Elephas maximus indicus: one gene and its partner. Each later gene encodes a partner of the first gene's protein in a complex. Links are inferred from orthologs where the notes say so. Each region holds a gene or a part of one and is shown in the gene's direction. Other genes may lie near its edges.

Region 1 (7,024 bases):
GCTTTAACGAACAGAAATTTATTCTCTGACAATCTTGGAGGCTAAAAGTTTGAATTCAGGATGCCAGTTCCAGGGGAAGGTCTTTCTCTGTTGATTGTGGGGGAAGGTCCTTGTCATCAATGTTCTCCAGGACTAAGAGTTTCTCAGTGCAGGGACCCTGGGTTCAAAGAACATACTATTCTCCTGACTCTTCTTCCTTGGTGGTATGAGGTCCCCTGTCTCTCTGCTCACTTCTGTCTTTAATATCTCAAAAGAAATTGACTCAACATACAACCTAATCCTATAGATTGAGTCCTGCCTCATTAACATCATAGAGGTAGGGTTTATAACACATAGGAAAATCACATCAGATGACAAAATGGTGGGCAATCACACAATACTGGGAATCATGGCCTAGCCAAGTTGACACACATTTTTAGGGGACATGATTCAATTCATAACAACCACCCAGGGATTTTTTTTACAGGTACAAGTGTTAGGATTTCAGCACTTGTGGGACACAGTTCAGTCCAAAACAGTAGAGGGGAGGGACAGGGTCAGGTTTATGCTTTAGGAAGACCCCTTTGTCTGCCTGTGCAGGGGGGTAGCTGGGAGGGAGAGAGGCGGGACTGGGGCAGGACACTAGGGGAGAGGAGGGTCCTGGATCAGAGCATGGGTTAGAGGAGGGGGAAGGAGGTGCCATATTCAAGAAACCTGGAGGAGACTGCTGCTTAAACCAGCCTGCCCTCCAGGACGCTCCAGGACGCCAGGAAAGGGGCCCTCAGGGCTCGCCCACCACCACCAGGGGGCAGCCAGGGACCTTCTGGGCTCTAAACTCTCAGCCGCTCCTTCCAGGATGGGGATATTTGCACTGGGGTTTGGAGACCCGGGAAGGCGGGAGGTGTTTGTGGAGCCCCAGCTGGGAGCCTCCCTGCTGTCCTACCCCCCACCCTGGCCTCTGGCTCCCCAGAGCCCCCATCCCGCCTCACCCAGCAAGAGATTTAGTCAACACAGCCCGGCTGCTTCTGGCAGGAAAATATTTGCCCTCAGGATCTGAGGTGGTCGCTATGGAGACATGCTCCCGCCAGGCCCAGAGAGGGTGAGAGGAGCCTTGGTCTCTTCTCTGTCTGTGTCTTTGAGAGGGTTTACCCCTACGTTTAGGTGGAAAGTTTACTCCCCTCTCCCCAACCCTCTGGACTCCAAGTAGCCCCCCCTCTCTCTGAGTCTTTTTCTCTTTGAGATTCTGTCCCTCTGTCTGTATTTCTTTACGGGTCCCTGTCTATCTGTGCCATCTCTTCATCTCTGTCTCTGTATCTCTCTCTCTGGATGCCTGTCTCTGAGTCTCTGTCTTGCTTCTTACTCTCTGGGTTCCATCTCTGTGCTTCTGTCTCTTCATGTCTCTGGGTCCCTGCCTCTCTCAGGGTTCATGTCTCTGGGTCTCAGTCTGTCTTTGGGTCTCTGCCTGTCTGTCTCTCTCTCTGGATCCCCACAGTTTTAGGTTTGTCTCTCTAGGATCTCTGAATCTGTGTCTATTTCTGTCTTTGGGTTCTTCTCTCACTCTTTCACTGCAATCTTCTCTCTCTGTGTGTCTGTCTGCACCCCTGTCTCTGGAGTGCTGTCTCTCTCTGGGTCTCTGTCTCTCTCTGGACCCCATGTCTGTCACTGTTTCTCAGTCTCCATCTTCTACTTCTTCTCTCTATCTCTCTGCCTCTCCTCTGTCTCTTTCTGTCTTTGTGTGTCTCTCTTGGGGGTCTCAGTCTTTCAGACAGCATCTCTCTGCAACCCTGAATCTCAGGGGACCATCTCAGCCCCCCACTTCTGGTCTTAGTCGCCATGGGTTGTCCCCTCTCCCCATCTCTCTCTGCCTCATTTCTCTGCACCATCTGCCAGCGCTCCAGGCCCCCGCCTGCTCCCCACAGGCCCTGCTTGGCCAGGCAGCCCCATGGGGGAGGCCAAGGCCCTCCAGCTCCTTCCCAGTCTCTGCTTCCCGCATCCTGCGGGGGTGGAGGGGGGGACAATATTAGGAATAAGGTACCTAAGGCCTGGTCATTGGTAGGGGGTGGGGGAGGAGAACAAGAGCTGGAGGGAGAGAAAAAGACAGACAGACAGGCATCAAGAAAGCAGAGTGGAAAAGAGGATGAGAGAAAGGAGAAATCTTGAAGATGAGCAAAAAGAGACTATTCTGGAGAGAAAGACCAATAGAAATGAGCAAAGAGGAAGAATGACACTGAGAGAAACCAGAAGAGAAGAGAAATGACAGACAGACAGGAGAGAAAGACAGGGGCAAGCTGAGTGTGGAGTCAGAAAAAAGAAGGAAGGAGAGAGTCACACTAAAGGAAGAGAGAGGGTGGAGTGAAGCAAGAAAGACAACAGAGAGAGAAAAGGAGGGAGGGGGGAGTAGATCGCCGGGTCTTTCTTTCAAGGCTCCTCTGGGTGGACTCAAACCTCCAATCTTTTAGTTAGCAGCTGAGCATGTTAACCATTTGCACCACCTAGGGATTCCAGAGACAGGAATAGAAAAGGAAAATGGAGATTGATAGGGGAGAGTGTTGAAAGGCATGGAGAAGGGGCTCCTCTCTTTCTGGGTCCTCTGGGGTCTAGGGGTGCACATGGCTGCCTGCGAGGGGTTGGGTGATGGGGGGCGTGGCTTCTCTGCCCAGTCCCAGGGCAGAAAAAGTTCCAGAAGCCCTGAGCTTGGGAGCCAGAGAGGGCTTGTGGCCACCCCTGGTGCCCTGCAGAGAGATGTAGCCTGAAGGGCAAAGACCCAGAGGACCCCAGGGGGGCTGGGCTGGGCTGTGCAGGGGGGCTGGGCTGCGCAGGGGGGCTGGGCTGTGCAGGGGGGCTGGGCTGTGCAGGGGGGCTGGGCTGTGCAGGGGGGCTGCGCAGGGACCCAGGCATCTACCTGTACCCACCTCCTCCTCCTGTACTCCATGCTCACTCCCCACTGGGTCCTGTGTTTTCCTCAAGGGGTGATGAGGTGGGGTGGACAGCTGAGGATGGAGCAGGAGTGGAGGGCTGATGATGGAGGGGGTGAGGAAATCTGCACTACAGCAGCCTGAGGCCACCCCGTTCGTCTCCCGGTCTCCTGATCTTGGTCATCTCTGTCCTCAGGACCTGGTCTTTCTGGCGCTCTCACCCATCCCATCACTGTCTCTCCCGATATCTTGATCATTCAGTTTGTGTCTTCTCTTGGTCCCTGCTTTCTCTCCCTTGGTTTGTCTTTCTCTTGGTCTCTTTCTCCACCCTTCTCTTGATTTCTCTGTCTTTCCCTGTTGTCTTTGTCTCTATCTCTTGATCTGTTTCTCTCTTTCTCTTGGTCTCTCTCATTTTCTCTATCTCTTTCTGTCTTCCTCTCTCTCCCCCTCTGGGTCTGTCTTGGCCCTTGGTTTCCTTTCCCTCTCACCACTTCAATCCCTGTCCACTGCTTCCCCTTCCTCCTTGCTTTCCCCTCCCCCTTCTCAGTCTTCCCACTCCCACCCCTACCCTAGGACCTCAGCCACCCTACCAATCCATCACTTTGCCTCTAGGCATCGCCCAGGCCCGGGTTCCTCTCCCCCAGCCCCTTCCCCCCAGCCCCAGCAGGGGGGCCAAGGAGAGACCCCACAAGCCCAGCTTCTCCCCGAGGTGCCGGGCAATCTCACACTCCCTCCCCGCTCCACTCCATGAGAGCAGCCTTTCCCAGGACCCAGAGGGCACCAGGAATGTGGGGCAGAGAGCAGGGAGGCCAGCCAGAGACCAGGAAGTGAGGGATCCCCCTGGCCCTCCCAGCCTGGCCTCCTTCCAGCCTCTGGTGCTGGTCCCCCTACCACCCCTTACTCCCTGCCCTTCTTGGGGCTGCTTCTGGGCCTCAGTTTCTCCTCTCCAAAATGGGCAGACTCGACCCTGCCCCCTTCTCTTAGATCCCAGGGGAACTCATGCTCATGAACGTTAATCACATGATTTATGTGGGACAATTGGTGGTTTGTGTCAAAGGGACGCAAGGGCGCTGAAAACGGGAACTCAGTTGCTAAGCCCTCTCCTCTCACATGAAATTTTAGGACAAAGGAAGAGACTGGAAGTAGAGGTCCTAAGAAGGTGTGTGAGTCAATAGTGACCATGACCATGGGACTGGTGAGACTAGGGGTTAGTGTATGATTGTGGGGTGGTGGGATCGTGGTGTGTGACCCTCTGTGTGACTGTGTGTGATTGTGGGGTGGTAGGATTGTGGTGTTGACCCCGTTTATGACTGTGTGTGATCGTGGGGTGGTGGGGACATGATGTGTACCCCTACTGGGTGATTGTGTGTGGCTGTCAAGTGCGAGTGGGGCTGTGATGGAAAGTTGTGTGTCTGTGTGATAGGACTTCATGAGGGAGGGTGGCAGTGTGACAGTGTCATGCTGAGAACTTGAGAGAGTGTGTGTCTTAGTGACGACTGGACCTGTGTGTAGGGGTGTGACTCTGTGAACTCTGGGGGTGATTATGCGAAGTGTGTGAGACTGTGTGAGAGTGTCAACAAGTGTGTGTGTAGGTTGTGTCACTAAAGTACCAGTGACTATACAACCGTGTGTGTTTATTGCACCAATAGTAATTTCTGAGCCCCTGCTCTGTACTCAGACCTGTGCTGGACTATACTGGGCACTCAGCAGTGACCAAGATGCCTGGCTCTGCCCTCGTGGGCACATGGGCCATTGGGAGAGATGGATGGTGATTGTAATGTGACTAGTGATTGTGTGGACACGTGTGCATGACAGCATCACTGAGACTGTGAAGCTATGATTGTGTTACTGTTGGTACAGGAGTCCACTGCCCTGGGCGTGTGGCTGTGTGTCACTGTGTCAGCCTGGGGGTGAGAGACTTTGGCTCTTTGGGTGTGACCGTGGGAAGGTACACCTGGGAATGACGTGTGACTCTATGAGTAATCGTGTGAGATTCTGCAACGGTGTCTCTCTGTGGCTCAGGTGGTATATGTAAAAATGGCGTGGCAGGGGTGTCTGACCTCTCCTAACTATACCAGGGGGAAGGAGATTCAAGATCAACAGCCCAACGCTGATTCCTATGAGGCAAAGGTCAGACATACCTCCTCTCGCCAGCCCTTTTTACCAATTCTGACACCGTCTGTCCTTCCCACGGCACTCTCTACTTCTCTGCTGGGTTCGATAATTCGTTGCAATGGCCACCCAGAACTCACAGACAATACTTATGATTATGGGGTTTATTAGGGAAGTAACGAGTTACAATTCTGGTTCAGGAACACTCAGGATACAGTTCTTCCATCAGGACAGCCTCTTCTCAGCCGTGCCCAAAGGCTGGTCTCGGCCTGGCCTCTGCCCTGCTTGGGCAAGTGTTACAAAGCTCTTTTAGTTCTGCTGGTAAGTGCCCAGAGGCACCCCACTCTGCCAGTAAGCCTGCCACCTAAAGGCGCTCAGCTTTCTCTTTCTGTGGGCCAGGAAGCCCAACCGCTGTCTCCTGTGGTCTCCTTCCTGTGCTGCCACCATTTCTCTGCTGCTGCTTCTCACCGTCTTTGGTGTTACAGCTCTCTCTTTAGGTCCTGGTTCCAGGAGCTTCTCAGCACAGAGATTCAGGGCCCAAAGTACACACCCCACTCCTGGCTCTTCTTTCTTGGTGGTGGTGAGATCTTCTCTTCCCCGCTCTGGGACAGCTCATTTTAAGCCTAGTGGGATGGTAAAACTGATTAACCCCTTCCTTAGGGCTCCATACACTTTATTTGCATGGTCCCATTCAACCATTGTGTGTGAATCACAAACGCTATGGCTAGAAGGTAATTCACTGTGCCACAGTATGGGTTGTGTGAGACGCTGTGTATGTGACTTCGTGGCTGTTGCTCTGTGTGTGAGTGACTGGGTGGGAGGTGTGCTGTGTGACTAGGGGGCTGTAGGTGGGCCAGTGAGAGACCGTGCATGGTGGGGGGTCCTTGGGACAGTGACAGTGTGACTGCTCTTCCACGTGACCTGGAGTGACTGTGATACTTACATGCCATGGTCCTCCTGTGCTGGATCTTAGCTGGAGCTCTCCCTCCTGTTCTGGGTCCCGCCCTGGCTCCGCCCCCTCCCACCACCCCAGGCTGCCAGCGCCTGTCACCTCTTCCAGTGCCCAGACAGGCAGTGGAGACGGCAGCAGCAGCAGCTGAAGCGGCGGCAGGAACAGGTGAGCATGAGTAGAGCTGGGGGCAGGTGAGGGCTCTCCCAGTCCTAGCCTGTTCCTTCTGCCCCCATCTCCCCCTCAAGTCTCTGGGTTTCTCTCTCTCTCTCTCTCAGCCTATACCTTTGTCTCTTTCTGTCTCTCAGTCTCTGTCTCTTGGTGTCTGTTTCCATATCTCTCAATCTGTTTAGCCTCCAGAAGGCTTTGCTTCTGTATCTCTGTCTCTCTTTCCCACTCTGTCTCTCTCCTTGTCTTTGTCTCCTGGTCCACATATTTGTCGCTTTCTATGTCCCTTGGTCTCTAGTCTCTAGCCGTGTCTCTCTTTCTCTGTGTGTCTCTAGTCTCTGTATTTCTGTCTGGTATGTCTCTGACTGCGTGTCTGTCTTCCAGGGGGCTCCTTCTGAGATTCTCCCTACTTTCCCCTTTCCCTTTCCCTACGTGGTGCCTGGTAGGGGGGCGGGGGATTTTGGACCAGAGGTTTCCAGGTACTGAGCCCCTGCAGATGTAAGCCAGGGTCTGACGCCTCTCTAGTCTCTAAGGATTTGGATGTTGGGAGAGGGGCTGTCCTGCCGATCCTGGGTTTTCTCCACAGCGGGGAAAGTTTTATAGGGTCAGGTTTTTCTGGGCCATTTGAAACCCCCGAGAGTGGGAACTCCGATGGGGGACTCACGCTCCACCCTAGCCTTAGCTGACGGTTGCTACTCCCTCCTCTCCAAGGCGGTCCCCAGAGTCTCTGGGTCTAGACTCCGGGTGACGCTGGCGCTTCCGCCCAGCGCAGCTCTAGGGCAACCGCCCCCTCAGCAAACACCCCCGCCCCCTGTCCACCGCCGCTGCCGGAGCAACAAACTGGAGGCGGGCCCGGCAATCGTGTGCCTCAGCCTCGGTGCCGGCCACTCCTCGCGCCCCC
Region 2 (7,792 bases), on another chromosome or scaffold:
GCTCCTAATATGGAATTACATGGCTTTCCATGTCCCAGCTGCTGGACTAAGTCAGTCCAGATTTATTACCTCATCTTTTTTAATTCTCACTATAGAGTGAAGACGAGTGTCTGTGTGGTGCAAACATTAAACACTCAACTGCTAACTGAAAGGTTGTTGGTTCAAAACCACCCAGAGGTGCTTCGGAAGGCAGGGTTGGTGATCTGCTTCTGAAAAGCCACACAGTCTTGAAAACCCTATGGAGCAATTCTGCTCTGCACACATGGAGTCACTATGAATCTCAACTTTTTTTTTTTTTTTTTACTAGAGTAAGACAGGGGAGGTCATTCTAGAAAATACTACCAGTCAACACTTGCAGGATGCCTTCAAGTTAATAAACACTAACTTTGCACTTACCTATGAATCAGGGCAGGTTTTGTTGTCTTAGGACTCTGGAAACTGCTCCATCCTTCATAAGCCCATGCAAAGATAAGGCAAAGAAGAAATCCCTCCCTTTTTACCCCTTCCTATCTTCCCCTGGGATGGTGTTCCCACCAGGGAGACCGAGGGGCTCAGGAATGCTGCTCTCTCTGGGAGGTCCAGCCCTTTGGTCTTTTATCCTAAATGCACAAGGAATTCCTTCCCTCTTTTTAGCAGGGCTCCCTGGGAAGTGACAACCCTGTTCTAACCCCTTCCCAGTTCTAACTCTTCACTGCAATCTTCCTCCCATGGATTAGGCTTACTAGTAGCTTGAGGTATTTTCCTGACAAACAAAAGCAGTCAATGTAGACTTTTATAATAGCAAGAGGGATTGCAGTTAGAACTAAGAGGGGACTTCTAAACAGAAACCTTGTAGCAGATAGCCAGCCAAAGGTGTAGGTAGTATATATATTCTTTCTTTGAAGATCTTTCTGGAAAGTATATATCTTGACCTGCGTGGTGCTGGAGGGTGATATGGACAAAAATGTTTGGAATTGGGACTGTTTGTTATGTGATTGGGAAAGAAAACTGGAGGTATTCTTTCTAGGAATCAGGATGGACCAGATGACAGCAATGTTTGTCAAGCATCATGCCCCCTTTTGTCTCCTTTACAAGAGGGCAAGGAGAATAAATCTCCCACCTTGTGTAAGAGGGGTTAGAGAGGGACGTCTACTTTCTGAGTCAGCCAGTGAGGTTGAAGACCAAGTGGACTTCAAAAGCGGAGTCCATGGTGGGGAGGCTGCAGCCAGTCCTCTGAGTCACCCTGGCCTGGCTGCCAAGCCCACCCTGGAATGTCTCCTGTGGACCTGCAGGGCCCTGGAAGGGGGAGGGGAGGAGATGAGTCACTGTGAACTGGAATGCTCTTCTGCTAGTCCAGTTCTCATTCCTGGGTCCCTGACTCAGTACCCAGGAGGGGCTGGAAGAGTACCCTGGGTTCTCTTGCAACAGGACTGCACATCACTCCCTGCCCACACTTTACCCTCTGATTCCCTGACTTCCATGCCTCCTCAGACACCCCAACCCTGCACACTCTCTACCTGTCTGGTCCCTCAGCCTTTGTATCTGGGCTTTAGACCTGTCGGGGCTTCCTCCTGCCTCCCCATCCCCAGTGTCCTCTCCAATCCTCAGATCCTGGAAATTCCGTGAAGCGGAACTGGAGCCCGGTGGCATGTCTCATCATGGCTTGGACAGGCTGAGTGGGCTGTCAGTTGGATTTATTAACTCTTTTGACCAAGTCCAGCAGGTCTTTCTAACCCTCAGAAGCTTCCCAAGGTCTTTTTTCCATTCCCTTGCCTTCCAACATGCATGCCCTGAGGGGAAGGGAAGGGTCGTGGGCACCCCTGAGAATGTGGCTTCTCTGATATTCTCCCCTGGATCTCCCCACACTGCTCCATTGATCCCGGGGTGTGTAGAACTTGCAGACTTGAACAGGAACTTTGGGCTAAGCGGCCATTCTCACATCCCTTCCCCCAGCCACCCCTGCCCCTCCCCCAGGCGCATTCTTCTCTTGTGTGTCCTCAGCAGGGCATGAGGGCCAAAGGTCAAAGGATAACTGGAAGTGGGGGGTGCTGCAGAAAAGTCCCCTGCAAGAAGGGGTGGAGTAGGGGCTTCAAACACGACTGGCCTTCAGAGCAGCCCATCCCCCGGAACAAATCCACAGGTTACCAGGGCAAGGGCTCAGAGCTGCTGCGACTCATCTCAGAACCTTCCTTGAAGGTTCTGGCATCACCAGAAGGTTCTGGTTTGGCATCACTTAGGGGTTCCAAGGAACTCTGTCCACTTCTTTTTGGATATCTTCTGCCTCTAGGCACGGATGGATGCCCAGGTTGGGGGGCTGAAGACTTTTGACACAAACTCTCTGAGCCCATGAACCTGTGTTGCTCAACAGGAAGCAGGATCCCAGCAGCCCCACCTCCCCTTTGGAGATCAAATCTGAATTGATGTCTCAGCTCTGCCCCGTTTGTAGCTGGGATACGGAATTTAGAGAGCTTGCCCAGGGAGAAATTTTTCTGGATGGAGAGAAATGGGTGGATAGGTGGGAGGAGGTTTCTAGGAAGCAGAGGTGAGTTACCCTCCTAGTCCAGTTACCTCTTATCCCACACAGGCACTTAATTTCATGCTGGATCTGCTCCCAGGCTGGGGAGTTCACCTGGAAGGGAAAGTGGCAGGTATTAAGCCCTAGAGCTAATAGGCAGGGCATGAGCTCAGTTGTTCATGGTTCAGTGGTACCCATTGTGAGTGGAGAAGGGTGGGCTGCCAAACATGCAGTCTATGTCCTGTCCCTCCTAGACGGATAGCCTCTGTGGACGGAGCCATGTGGTAAGTACTTGGGCAAAGGCAACGGGAGTACCTCGGGAAGTCTTCAGTCTGAGAGGGGAGATCCAGCCCTTAGCCTTAGGAAGCCCCAGGGTGATGCGGAGAATATAACCCTGGCTGACATCGCTGCCCTCAGAGAGCCCCCAGTCTGATCAAGGAGATATAACTTCTGTCTTGGAGAGCCCACCAATCTGATAGTGAGGTACAGTACCACCTCACCTCAGGGGTCCCCAGTATGATGGAGGAGACAGGACCACATACTTTCCTCATATAGAAGAGCAGGGCGTTTAAGGAGGAATTGAGTCTTAAAAATCTTATCTTTACCGATAGGTCAAGTAGCTGCCTCCATCTTTCTCCAAGTTCTCAAGGTATGAATGTGCCTGTTCTCTATTCTGTCCTGCCCAAAGCAGGAAGACAGCTTGAGTATAAGTTCTCAGTTCACCCATCTACCACCAGAAAACCCCCAGCTTTCATGTTCCCTTGACCTCTGTCCTCTGATTCTCCGGTTCCTTTTCCCAGCCACCTAGGACCTTGCCCCAGATGGAGACATTGCTACAATGCCAAACCCACGGGCCCTTGTCCAGACCCAGGGCTCAGACTACTGTGGCCCCACTTCTTCCCACCCAGAAGTAGACTTACTAACTTGTAGGAGTGCCCCCCAGCTAGTGCCCACTCCACCCCAAGCCAGCCCTCAGCAAGTAAGCCCTTTCTAACTAAGGGCATCTATAAATGAAGTGGGGGGCGGGGGGTGGGGGTGTGTGTGTACTGGGCCCTGTGCCCAGAACGGAGGAGAGGGAAGGAGTAAGGGAGCACTTAGGGTACCCTACTCCTGGGCAGGCCGCAGACAGCAGTTGGAGATACCCAAAATGTTAATCACCAATTAGTGCAGTTCAGGTGGAAAGGACAACTTTATTATGTGTAAAATGGACTTAATGTGGCAGGAGCTGTGGGTTTAATTTCTTGAGATAAGATGCTTTTAGGCTAATCAGCTGGTCTCGGATGCCTGGATATAAAAGAGCTGAAGTAGGCTTTCTTGACGCAGCTCTAAAGAGCCAGAAGGTAGGAGGAAGAGACCCTCGCCCTTTCCTTCTCCTGGAAGAGCCAGAAAGGAAGTCTGGTAAGAGAAAACCTGGGAGAGGGGATGGATCGGATGACCTGGAGAGGAGGTGGAGGGGGACCTTGGTAACCCTGAGATGCTCAGCCTCCTAACATTTCACTTTCTCTTCCTCTGTATAAGAAATAAGAAGTTCTCTTTGATGGTTTCTTTAACATTCAGGTAGCCAAGGCGGGAAGATGGGGTCCTGCAGCTCACAAATCTCTAAGTCTAGCTTAGGAGGGAAGTTCTCCATTGTACTTTATCTCTACTGAAAACCCATGGATGAAATGGGTCAAGCCCAAGGTGGGAAGGTATAGCTCAGACTGCAGGAAGAACAACCCTGATGGTTAAGCCTGAGAAGGGGAGACTGGGATGATTCTATGTGTAGTTTTCATTTAGGGCAAGAGGGTTACAGTGATTTAAACGGCAGCCAATTTGAGAGTAGGAAGGCTGGTTGATACGAACCTCGAAGGGCTCTAAGGAGATAATCTTGCCAAACCACATGCCTATGAAGTTCAGTCCCAGAGCCAGGGACAGAGGGGAGGCAGAGTGCCCAAGCACACAGGTCTTCACTGCTTTATCCTCCCTGGATCTCTCCCTCATTGCCCTTTTCCCACCCCACTCAGACCCTATCTATAAACAAAAAAGCAAACGCCCCTCTTGGCCAGGCTTCAAGTCCTTTCTAGTCATTAACCCAAATGCCCAACACCCGCCACCCTCCCAAGGTGTTGCTTCAGTCTGTTAGAAAAGCTCCAAACCCCAGGACTCAGCCCCTCCCCAGCTTTCAGAACCATCTTTATACAAGCTGCTCCCTCAGCACAGCACTGTCTGCCTTATCTTGGTCCTTTTGTCTTCAGCTCAGGATATAATCCTTGGAAGATGGTGACCATGAAGATCTTGTCTCTGCTGCTAGTATCCCTGCTCGTGGCAGTGGTGCTAGGGGAGAAGGAGAAGGGTCACTCCAGGTAGGGGTGATGGGAAGGGAGGGATCAACAGCAGAGGAGGGGGCTGGGGGATGACTGGGTTCTAGGCTCTGTTGAGTGAGAGAGAGAGAGAAGAAGGGATCCCAGGCCAAGAGGAAAGAGACTCAAGGGAAAGATTTTCAGCAGTCTAAGTGCAGAGTGAGACCAGAACCAGAGGGTTTTATGAGCTACTGTGGTAGCAGGAGAGACTGGTTAAATATCTGAAAGGATTTCTTGGTGGTTAAGGGTCTGAAGAAGATGACAAAATCTCCCTTCCTAGGGAATGCTTTAAGCATTTCTTTTTGCATGTACTCAATATAATTTTACAGAGGGCCTCCTGTGGGCTAGGCACAGGAGATCTATGTCAATGAGAGTCCACAAATGGCTCCTGTCCTCATGGGGCATATAGATCCAAGAGGGAACAAAGAACCACAGAGGCATGTTGCAAAATATCATGAGTCCTATTAAAAAAAAAAAAAAAAAAAAAAAAATTTTTTTTTTTTTTTTTTTTAATGAAGACAAGTAGAGAGTATTATGAGTGAATACAGCAGGGGGCTCTGATGGTGGTTTCAGGGACCAAGGGAGACATGTCTGAGGAAAGAGATGGACCTTCTGCAAGAACAAACGATACACGCATGTAAATTTCAGGCACAGGCTGTCAGGGATGTGTACACGGATAGGCAGCATCACCCAGATGTTAAGAATTTAGACCTGAGGCCATACTGCTTGGGGGTAAATCCTGGATCTGTCACTTATGCTCTAAGATATATTTATCTCTCTGCATCTTGGTTTCTTCATTTATAAAGTGGGGATAATAAGTAGTATCTACCATATAAGGGTGCTGTGAAGACTAAATGAGTTTATGTATTAGAGGGCTAATAAGAGTTCCTGACTCATGGCAAGTGCTGTCTTATAAGAGTTCACTATTTTTGTGACGGAAAGAAAACCAAAGAATGGAATCAGGAAGGTCCAGGGCAAGAGGAGTAAAGGGAGGAACTGTGTGAGTCAGTCCTTTGAAATGAGAGGAACCCACATCCCCCTTGGCCCAGAATCCAGAGGCATACCCACTCAGGATGCAGGAGGATGGACCCTTGAGCCTCAGATCAAATCCCCAGGGGGTTGATGGAGTGACAACAGGAGTCTCCAAATTAACCAGCTCCCAAGAAATGGGCTGGTTTGCTTTCAAATGCCTGCTTCCTGTTAGCAACAACTTTTTACCCAGCATTGTGATTTTCCCCCTCTCTGCTACTACTCTGGCATCCTGATCTTCCCTCTCTCTCCCTTCCCTGTCTCTCAGACCCCACCCTAAGGTCAGCAGCCCTCAACCTCGAGGCCCGAGATATGCTGAGGGGACTTTCATCAGTGACTACAGCATTGCCATGGACAAGATCCGCCAACAAGACTTTGTGAACTGGCTGCTGGCCCAGAAGGGGAAGAAGAATGAGTGAGTCCTTGTGCTCACCCTCTCCTGTTCCACATTCCCAGGGCTCTACCTTCCTATGTTCAGACCAGGCTACCATACATGGCCACATGGGGGTGGAATGCACCACTCCAGGTTGCATCTTTCACTTAGACAATGACGAGGAGTTGTCTTGGCCATGGTGGCCCTGGCCAGATCTTGACTGGGGCAGCAGGCCAGTCTGGGGGCAGAAGTAGGGTGATTTCTAATTCTTCTAAAGGAGTCCCTGGGTAGTATAAATGGTTGCTAACCAAAAGGTTGGAGGTTTGAGTCCACCCAGAGGCACCTCAGAAGAAAATCCTGGCAATCTACTTCAGAAAAATCAGCCACTGAAAACCCTATGGAGCACAGTTCTACTCTGACACACATGGGGCTGCTACGGGTTGGACTCCACTCCACTGCAACTAGTTTTTGGTTTTACTTCTAAAGAGGTGTCAGGTAGATGTGTGGGAGAACACAGAGGATCCCCAGGGGGGTGGGGATGAAGGCAGGAGGAACTGAGCTGCTTCCAATGACTTTTTGGTGGTGGCAACTTCAGATTTTAGAAATGGGATAACTGCCCCCTTCTTCATTCTCTTTGCTGTATCTCTTTCCCTGTTTGGTCAGCGTGGTAGATTCTGAAAAGCTGTTCACTGGCGGGGGCAGCTAAAGGCAAGGAGTGCAGTGCCCTTCTCCTAAGGTTGAGGTACAAAAAGATTCAGGAGTCCCTGGACTAGAGAAGGCCTGGAATCTCAGCCCCATCTACTCCCTAATCTTTATCCTACCAGCTGGAAACACAACATCACCCAGAGGGAGGCCCGGGCCCTAGAGCTGGCCGTTCAATCTAACAGGAATGAGGAGGCAAGGGAGAAGCAGAGGTGAGTTGGGGGAAAAGGGGTGGGAAGGGGCCTCCTGACTTCTGACCTGCCCCTACTTCATTGTTGCCTGTCCTGGACTCCAGGGCAGAGCAAGGGCCTGTGATAAGCAACCCCTTCCAGTCAAGAGTTCAAAGAGGGGGCTTCACTGAGCAAACTTCTGGAGGTCAACCCAGGCTTAAAGAAGCAGCCTCGGAGGGGTGGGGGAGGGGCTTTGGGAGGGGCTTCTGGGCCAGGGTTTCTAAGATTGATGACTTTGTATGTAGACAGGGTCACTGAGTCAAGAGAGAGACAGTGAAGGAGTGGTGCTCAGGAAGTGGCCTCCCCACTTCTCCCTGACAAACCTCAGGAAGGCTGTTTGTGGAAGAGGGAGACCATCCCAAAGACAGTTCCCTGAAATCAGTTACTCCCTCTCTGAGGAAAGGGAGGAATTTGTGGCACAAATCATTCTAAAGAGTGAATGTTCCCAGAGTAATCTTTCAGGTGTGGGGAATGCACTCTGGAATATTTTTCAAGGTGGATGAGTGGGCTTTCTCACACCAGAATTCTGTTTGGCTTTACCTGTATTGAAAAGCCCACCTTCCCCGGTAGAGATGGATTGCCCAATAAGCCAGGTAAGCATGTGCTTAGGGCATCAGCAAAACAG

What was found. The genes of interacting proteins can lie anywhere in the genome.
Region 2: the proteins of GIPR (region 1) and GIP are in contact, whole or in part, in a cryo-EM structure (PDB 7RA3), measured with the Homo sapiens proteins. The link is inferred for Elephas maximus indicus from reciprocal best matches to the Homo sapiens genes GIPR and GIP. Residues at the interface, in NP_000155.1 of Homo sapiens: Gln30, Thr31, Ala32, Leu35, Tyr36, Trp39, Tyr68, Trp71, Leu88, Trp90, Arg101, Arg113, His115, Asn120, Gln130, Arg131, Leu134, Glu135, Leu137, Gln138, Tyr141, Tyr145, Arg183, Ile187, Arg190, Asp191, Pro197, Gly198, Pro199, Tyr200; in NP_004114.1 of Homo sapiens: Tyr52, Ala53, Glu54, Gly55, Thr56, Phe57, Ile58, Ser59, Asp60, Tyr61, Ser62, Ile63, Ala64, Met65, Asp66, Lys67, Ile68, His69, Gln70, Gln71, Phe73, Val74, Trp76, Leu77, Leu78, Lys81.

Annotation. Positions count from the first base shown.
Region 1 is NC_064829.1:103,973,752-103,980,775, reverse strand, and holds the start of GIPR (gastric inhibitory polypeptide receptor), read left to right. Parts: upstream 1-4,015; 5' UTR 4,016-4,053; intron 4,054-5,979; 5' UTR 5,980-6,123; intron 6,124-7,024. UniProt on the Homo sapiens protein: This is a receptor for GIP. The activity of this receptor is mediated by G proteins which activate adenylyl cyclase.
Region 2 is NC_064837.1:44,609,710-44,617,501, forward strand, and holds the start of GIP (gastric inhibitory polypeptide), read left to right. Parts: upstream 1-4,750; coding exon 4,751-4,836; intron 4,837-6,130; coding exon 6,131-6,277; intron 6,278-7,059; coding exon 7,060-7,149; intron 7,150-7,792. UniProt on the Homo sapiens protein: Potent stimulator of insulin secretion and relatively poor inhibitor of gastric acid secretion.